2 linked regions of the Sus scrofa genome follow. The protein of the gene in region 1 binds, or shares a complex with, the protein of each later gene. Links are inferred from orthologs where the notes say so. Each region holds a gene or a part of one and is shown on either strand. Other genes may lie near its edges. The genes, in order: NPR1 and NPPA.

Evidence for each region.
Region 2: the proteins of NPR1 (region 1) and NPPA are in contact, whole or in part, in a crystal structure (PDB 7BRG), measured with the Rattus norvegicus proteins. The link is inferred for Sus scrofa from reciprocal best matches to the Homo sapiens genes NPR1 and NPPA. Residues at the interface, in NP_036745.1 of Rattus norvegicus: Asp90, Val115, Tyr116, Ala119, Pro120, Arg123, Ala139, Leu140, Gly141, Ile142, Val144, Tyr148, Tyr182, Asp184, Leu186, Gly187, Asp188, Asp189, Arg190, Phe193, Phe194, Val196, Glu197, Tyr200, Met201, Arg204, His213, Gln214, Glu215, Phe216; in NP_036744.1 of Rattus norvegicus: Arg126, Ser127, Ser128, Cys129, Phe130, Gly131, Gly132, Arg133, Ile134, Asp135, Arg136, Ile137, Gly138, Ala139, Gln140, Ser141, Gly142, Leu143, Gly144, Cys145, Asn146, Ser147, Phe148, Arg149, Tyr150.

Annotation. Positions count from the first base shown.
Region 1 is NC_010446.5:95,957,129-95,960,935, reverse strand, and holds the end of NPR1 (atrial natriuretic peptide receptor 1), read left to right. Parts: coding exon 1-55; intron 56-2,492; coding exon 2,493-2,584; intron 2,585-2,737; coding exon 2,738-2,800; 3' UTR 2,801-3,716; downstream 3,717-3,807. UniProt on the Homo sapiens protein: Receptor for the atrial natriuretic peptide NPPA/ANP and the brain natriuretic peptide NPPB/BNP which are potent vasoactive hormones playing a key role in cardiovascular homeostasis.
Region 2 is NC_010448.4:71,918,892-71,922,774, reverse strand, and holds NPPA (natriuretic peptides A), read left to right. Parts: upstream 1-1,429; 5' UTR 1,430-1,568; coding exon 1,569-1,688; intron 1,689-1,786; coding exon 1,787-2,113; intron 2,114-2,917; coding exon 2,918-2,929; 3' UTR 2,930-3,218; downstream 3,219-3,883.

The sequences.
Region 1 (3,807 bases):
TGTCTCTTTGGGGACACAGTCAACACAGCTTCAAGAATGGAGTCTAACGGGGAAGGTATGCTGGGCCCTCTAGGCAGGGTGGGGAGGGCAGGTCCTCCTGGCAGCTCACGCCCATTCAATCCCTATTCTCCCCCTTCCAGGCTCCCTTCTTAGAAGGGTTCAGCCTGGCCAGATCACCCTCAATCCAACCAGAGACTCAGGTCCCAGCTGCCCACTCTTGCCAAATGATAGACCACTCTTCTCAGGCCAGTGTCCAGCAGTTCTTAGCAGGAATCCTACTTTTAGGGTCCTCTTAGGTGTGGTAAAGAGAGCTTCTCAGTTTTCCTCATCTGGAAAATGGGAATTAAATATCTACCTCTGAAGGGAGTTCCTGATGTGGCGCAGCAGAAACAAATCCTTCTAGTATCCAGAAGGACTCAGGTCCCAGGCTCACTCAGTGGGTTAAGGATCTGGTGTTGCCGTGAGCTGCAGTGTAAGTCGCAGACGTGGCTCGGATCCTGAGTTGCGGTGTCTGTGATTTAGGTCAGTGGCTACAGCTCCGATTCAACCCCTAGCCTGGGAACCTCCATATGCCGAGGGTGCGGCCATAAAAGAAAAAGGAAAAAAAAATTAAAACACACAAACAAAAATATCTACCTCAGAAGATTTATGTGAGAGAGTTGCCTCACATGACTAACACATTGTCATTCAACTTTTCTGGGCTTCAGCTGTTTATCTATAAAATGAAGCCTGTCTCAGGTTGTAAAAAACATAGCATAACCCCTGGGACACAGTAGGTGCCTAATAAATGCTTGCTCCCACCTCTTCCCTTGGGCTTGCTTCCTATGGCTCTTTGACCGCCTGCTGTATTCAACACAGTTCAATTCAGTCAACATTTATTGAGCAACTACTGCACACCAAGCCCTAACACACTATGATAACCCAGATCACAGTTTGCTGGGGAACCCACGCCCACCCCATCTAGGCCTCATGGTGGGCGAGGGGCTCCTTGGGAGCCCAGAGGGGGTCTGGTTCAGCAGATATTTCAGGGCACAGTGTTTGGGGCTGTTGGGGTGGGAGAAATCTTCTCACTGAGGTCCAGAGCTCAAGGAGCGCGTGCTTAGACATGGTTTAACGAGGAACAAGGCCGCCGTGACGCAGACCCCAGGAGTTGGGGGGGCAAGTTCAGAGGCTGGGCAAAGAAGGGGCCACCGGAAAAGGCAGTCGGGAGTCAGGCAGCCTGGGGCTGACCTCAGCGCCTCTTGGGCAGATCTCCTCCCCGAGGCCTGGCCTCCCTCAGCCCTAAAATGAGGGTGTGGAGTAAAATAATGATGGTAGCAAACACTTAGAGTGAGTGCCTCCCATGTACCAGATTCTTTTTTGGTACTTTGTCAATAATGTGAAGTTTAATCCTCCCAAGTCTTCGAGGTGGGTCCTGCTGTTATCGGCATTTTGTAGACTAGGAAAAAGGCACAGAGAGTTTGTATTACTTCCCCAAGCAAGTGTCCAAGCTGGGATTCATACAGGCAGGGCAGGTTCTAGTGTCTGAGCTCCTGACTGCTGGAATCTACCGTCTGTCCAGAGCCTGGTCATGCTCTGGAGCGCCGTCCAACAGAAGCTTCTGCAGTCATGGAAATGCTCCCTAAGCTGTGCCAGGCCAATGTGATAGCCTCTGACGCATTGCTTTTTTAACTGTATTTAGTTTTGGGGTTGTTCGAGTGTTTTTTTGTTTTGTTTTTTACTTTTTAGGGCCGCATCCTCAGCATATGAAGGTTCCCAGGCTAGGGGTCTAGTCGAAACTACAGCAGCAGGCCTACGCCAGAGCCACAGCAACACAGGATCAGAGCCACGTCTGTGACCTACACCCACAGCTCACGACAACACCAGATACTCAACCCACTGAGCGAGGCCAGGGATTGAACCCTCAACCTCATGGTTTCTAGTCAGATCTGTTTCCCCTGCACCATGATAAACTCTTTTTTTTTTTTTTTTTCTTTTTTTTGGTCATGCCCTCGGCATGTGGAAGTTCCCTGGTGGGGGATCAGATCCACCCCACAGCAGCGACCCAAGCCACTGCACTGACAATGCCAGCTCCTCAACCCACTGTGCCACAAGAGAACTTCTTATTTAGTTGTTGCTGTCGTTGTTGGTTTTTCCTTTTTCACCCATACCACGGCATAGGGAGGTTCCCAGGGCAGGGATGGAATCTGAGCCATGGCTATGGCAATGCCTTGTCTTTAACCCATGGTGCCACAGCGGGAACTCCCTATTTAATTTTCACTAAACTTAAATAACCACATGTGACTGGTGGCTGTCATGGTGGACAACAGAGCTCTAGAATTCTTAAGGAGAGGCCAGTGTGGTCACACACCACATGGAGGGGATGGGACTCAGAATTAGGAGGCTTTCTAGGCCAAAGGAAGGAGAGAGGGCATCTTTCTAGCCTCAGAGTCCCTGATCTCCTGCTCCCATCTCTTGCATCTCTCACCTCCCTTCTCCCTTCTCCTCCCCAGCCCTGAAGATCCACTTGTCTTCTGAGACTAGGGCTGTCCTGGAGGAGTTTGGTGGTTTCGAGCTGGAGCTTCGAGGGGATGTGGAAATGAAGGTAGAGAAGGAAGCACCTGCCTTTGCCACCCTGTGGGGCCCCAGAGGGGCTGACTCTCCCCCAGGCCCTTTCTCAAGCAGCCAGACCCGCTCCCATCATTTGGGAGAGTGGGCGTGTCACTCCCCAGCCCCAACCTCCTCTTTTTCCCTCCAGGGCAAAGGCAAAGTTCGGACCTACTGGCTCCTGGGGGAGCGGGGGAGTAGCACCCGAGGCTGACCTGGCTCCCCTCCTGGCCTTCCACACCTCCCTTCCCTGTGCCAGAGGTGACAGAGAGGCGCCAGGCTTCAGCCTCGCCCACAGCATCCTCACCATTGCCAAAGAAGTGGTTTGAACAGCTCAGGTGAGCCCACCCCATTGGAGACACCAGATATTACCTCTGAAAGAGGGCTGGTGTGGAGGAGAACTTGGGGCTCACAGGACTGGACCAGAACTCACAGTCATGCCCAGGGACCCCCACACATAGGCACAATCACTCGCTCTCCACCCTGACTCAGGCCAGGCCAGATGGGATGTGGATTCCTGGATCCTCCTGGCCGTCCCTGTGCCCTCCTCCTCCCTCAACCTTGCTACACTGTGACTTTTGTGGGGACAGGGGAAGAGCCCCCTGAGGGGGGCATGGGAAAAGGGACTGTAGGTGAATCCAGGACCACCAACAGCCCCTGTTCCCCACCACCCGACGTTGGGTGCAGTGCCCAGGGCAGCAGAGGAAGGGCCGGAGGGCTGTGGGCCTGTATGCCTTGCTTCTCCTGTGAGTGGAGACCATTAAAATCTTTATTCTAGTGACAGTGTCTTTTCTCGAGGGAGAGAGGGTGGCCAGAAAACAGAGCCGTATTCTTCGCCCCCTGCTTCAAATAGAACCTGTTTCTCAAGCTGGGATTGCAATGTGGGATCTGAAACAAGGCTGCAGTTTACCTTCAACTTTGAGAAGCCAGTGTCATAGGCTTTGAATTACCCTAGCAGTGCCGGCACTATTGGTTTTAGTCTTGTTTACACCTCTAAGAACTACTGAGGGCCTCCCAGAGTTTTTGTTTATGTGAGTCGTATCTATTGATATATTCTGTATTAGAAATTAAAACAAGGCTTTATCAACTCATTTAAAAGAACTATAATAAACCCATCACGTGTTAATTTACTGCTTTATCAAGGACATTCTTTTTTTTTTTTTTTTTTTTTTTTTTGCCTTTTAGGGCTGCACCTGCAGCATATGGAAGTTTTCAGGCTTG
Region 2 (3,883 bases), on another chromosome or scaffold:
AACCAATAAAGACAACCGTGGTGAGCGCCATGCAATTAGATAGTAATTCACACTTTAGAATTTGCTCACCTATTCATAGCTCTTTGGAGCCGCGTTTGGGGCTGCACTGCTGGGCTCTCCTCCCTTCAAGTGCAGGCTTGCCCCCAGGATACGTTGCATCAAAGAGTGTGCAGCATTGAGTGCAGTGAATGGAGGCCCCTCCTTAAACGTGGACAAGCTCACCCCTGGTGTTTCTCTTGTTGGGGGGGGGGCGGAAATGGAGGCCTCAGGGGCTTATCGCTTTCTTAGCCTCAGAGAAGGATGTGGGCGGCGTTAAGGGAAACTGCATGGACCCTGGTTGTCTCCCACCCTCACTCCATCAGCCAACTTTGCCTGGGAGCTTGCCTGGAAGGTGTGAGGCCCTCCATGCTTCAAACCCAGAGGCTGAGCTTCTCCAGATGAACATGCCGGAGAGTTCCCACAGTGGCTCAGTGGCAACGAACCCAGCTATTATCCATGAGGATGCGGGTTTGATCCTTGGCCTTGCTCAGTGGGTGAAGGACCTGTTGTTGCCGTGAGTTGTGGTGTAGGTCATATGCAGCTCAGATCTGGTGTTGCTGTGGCTATGGGTCGGCGGCTGCAGTTCTGATTCAGCCCCTAGCCTGGGAACTTCCATATGATGCAGGTGTGACCCTTAAAAGCCAAAAAAAAAAAAAAAAAAAAAAAAAAAAGGCAAATGCCAGCATCCTCTCAGGGCCCATTTCCTGCAGCTCCTCGGAGGGAGCTGTGCGGGGGTAAGATTTGCAGAGCGATGACCACGTTCCCCAAACTCTTCTGGGTGTTTGTATTTGGGAGCAGGGTTCTTGGGACATTTGTCACATTTAGTTCCGGCTGACTTAGGACTCTAAAAAAGTCCTCTGTCTTCACCTGATGGCTGAGAGTGACAGCCAGGGAGCAAGGGCAGCCCTGTGGAGGGAAAGGCCTGCCCTCCCCACCCAGGAGTCAGGTGTGAGGTCAGCTGGAGCATCTGGACTAATTTGTCCCTAGCCGCTGGCTGCCTGCCATTTCCTCCTCTCCCGCCCTTATTTGGAGCCCCTGACAGCTGAGCCGCAAACCAGCAGGGGAGCTGGGTGCCAGCCAGCCGTCACCCTGTGCTTCCCTGCCTGGGTCCCGTTGCCCAGGAGAAAGAAGCCCGAGGCATCGCTGGGAGATAACCAAGGACTCTTTTTCGCTCTTCTCACACCTTTGAAGTGGGAACCTCTTGAGGCAAATCAACAAGAATGTGGCTCTTGCAGCTGAGGGTCCCGGGGGTTGTTGGGGCTGCTCAAGGTGGAGGGGCTGTGACAAGCTGGCTGGACTGATAACTTTAAAAGGGCATCTTCTGCTGGCTCCTCACTCAGCGGCTTTATCACTGCAAGTGACAGAATGGGGAGGGTTCCATCCCTCTTGCGCTCTCGGAGAGCCTGGGGGCTATAAAAGAGGTGGCTCAGGGCAGCTGGAAGACAGAGACGGACGAAAGCCAGGAGGGGGAAACCAGAAAGGAGAGGGAAGAGGAGCAAGTGGCAGACCACTCCCTGACCGACGCCAGCATGGGCTCCTCCACCATCACCGTGAGCTTCCTCCTCGTTCTGGTGTTTCAGTTCCCAGGGCAAACCAGAGCGAACCCTGTGTACGGCTCCGTGTCCAATGCAGACCTGATGGATTTCAAGGTAGGGCCAGGAAAGGGGCACAGTCTGGGGTGAGGGGGCTTTGGGACCTGGTGCCCGTCAGTGAGATCTCTCCCTTTCCCGCTCTTCCTTTTATCAAGAATTTGCTGGACCACTTGGAGGACAAGATGCCTTTAGAAGATGAGGCTATGCCCCCACAAGTACTAAGCGAGCAGAATGAGGAAGTGGGGGCCCCTCTCAGCCCCCTTTTGGAGGTACCTCCCTGGACCGGGGAGGTGAACCCAGCCCAGAGAGATGGGGGTGCCCTGGGGCGGGGCCCCTGGGACGCTTCCGATAGATCTGCCCTTCTGAAGAGCAAGCTGAGGGCACTGCTTGCTGCCCCTCGGAGCCTGCGGAGGTCCAGCTGCTTCGGGGGTAGGATGGACAGGATTGGAGCACAGAGTGGACTGGGCTGTAACAGCTTCCGGGTAAGAGAAACCAGGGGTGGAAATGGGACGGGGAGGAAGGACATGGGGTTTCATTGATATTCAGGCCTTGTGAAAGAGTACCACTAGGGATGCCCTCAGCAGGAGAGGGATCAGCATTAAGGCTCATTCTCTTTGGGGAGTTCCCGTCGTGGCGCAGAGGAAACGAATCCGACTAGGAACCATGAGGTTGTGGGTTCGATCCCTGGCCTTCCTCAGTGGGTTAAGGATCCGGCGTTGCCGTGAGTTGTGGTGTAGGTCATAGACAAGCCTCAGATCTGGCCTTGCTGTGGCTGTGGCACAGGCCGGTGGCAATAGCTCCGATTCGACCCCTAGCCTGGGAACCGCCATATGCCTCTGGTGCAGCACTAAAAAAAAAAAAATAAAATAAATAAACAAACAAACAAACAAACAAAAAAACCACATTCTCTTTGAAATTTCTGCGCTAGCTGGGTGGGAGCTCTGTGACTCTCGGAACAATGACGTCATCCTCAGCTAGAGCCTGCTGAGAAAATGATAGGCAAAAAAGAAGTTCCTTGCCATGAGCCCTGGGAACTTAAAAAATTCACCTTCTTCCGGCTGATTGGCATTTTATGCTCCTCCCCAAAGTGTCAGATTCCCCCCAAAATGGAAATTTACCAGGATCGACTTTACTAGCTCCTCATGTCAATTCGTTTGCCAGTTCATGCAACTCAGGCAGTCGTTGGGCTGGAGAGGGGACCGTAGGAAGTAAGAATTGTCCTGTGAAGCTGACTTTTCCAGGAGAGCCAGGTCCCCAAGCCAAACACGTTTCTGTTCTCTTTGTAGTACCGAAGATAACGCCAGGGAGGAAAAGGCGAGCCAGGCCCCGGCCAGACTTGGAGAGACCCTCATCCCCTGGGGTCTCTCTCTCATCTTTGTCCTGTCTCGTTGCTGTCAAGTTGAGGTGTGAAGAGCACCCGATTCAAGGGGCAGCCTCCTGTCAACATGTCTCACATTTTAGGCTAAATGTAAAGTGATTTCATTGCGGCTTCTCCACCTCTCCCACTCCTGCATTAAATTTTAGTCACCTGTTAACTGACATTGGTTTCAAAACCAATAAACTTCAGCACCACGGACAGACGCTGAAGGCTGTGGTTGGTCTGATTTCTTTCAACTCCCGAAAGGAGTTTAGTCTGCTATTCCTTGTCATTTTACCTTTCCTCAGAGTAAAGAATGCTCAATTCCTTTCCCCCTCCTTTGTAAAAAATAATAAAATTATTTTGGGGTGCAGTTTTATTTTATGCTCACAGCAAAGCTGAACAGAAAGTAGAGATTTCTCATGTAACCCTGGCCACCCCCGATGCACGGGCTCCTCAATTATCAACATCCCCCCCCAGAGTGGGACATATGTTCCCATCGACGTACCTGCACTGACACAGCAGAGCCACCCAATGTCCACAGTTCACAGAGAGGTCATTCTTAGTGGTGTATATTCAATGGGTTTGCACAATTTTGGGCTCCCTTCATTCCTCTGTGTATGGGTGTTTGCGTGTGTGTGTGTTTAGGGCTTGGGGACTCAAAACACAGCTCTTAACCTGCCTTCATGCTCACTGCCACCTCACCATGGATCTTGAAAAATCCCCAGGAGACCCAAAGGGTATTTATCTTTACTCAGATGTGCTCACATTTAGGGTACTTATTTATTGAAAAAGAAAAGTTACAAATATCAGGGCTTTTTTGTTTTGTTTTTTTTTTCTTTTTATAGTCACACCTGTGGCATATGGAAGTTCCCAAGCTAGGGGTTGAATCAGA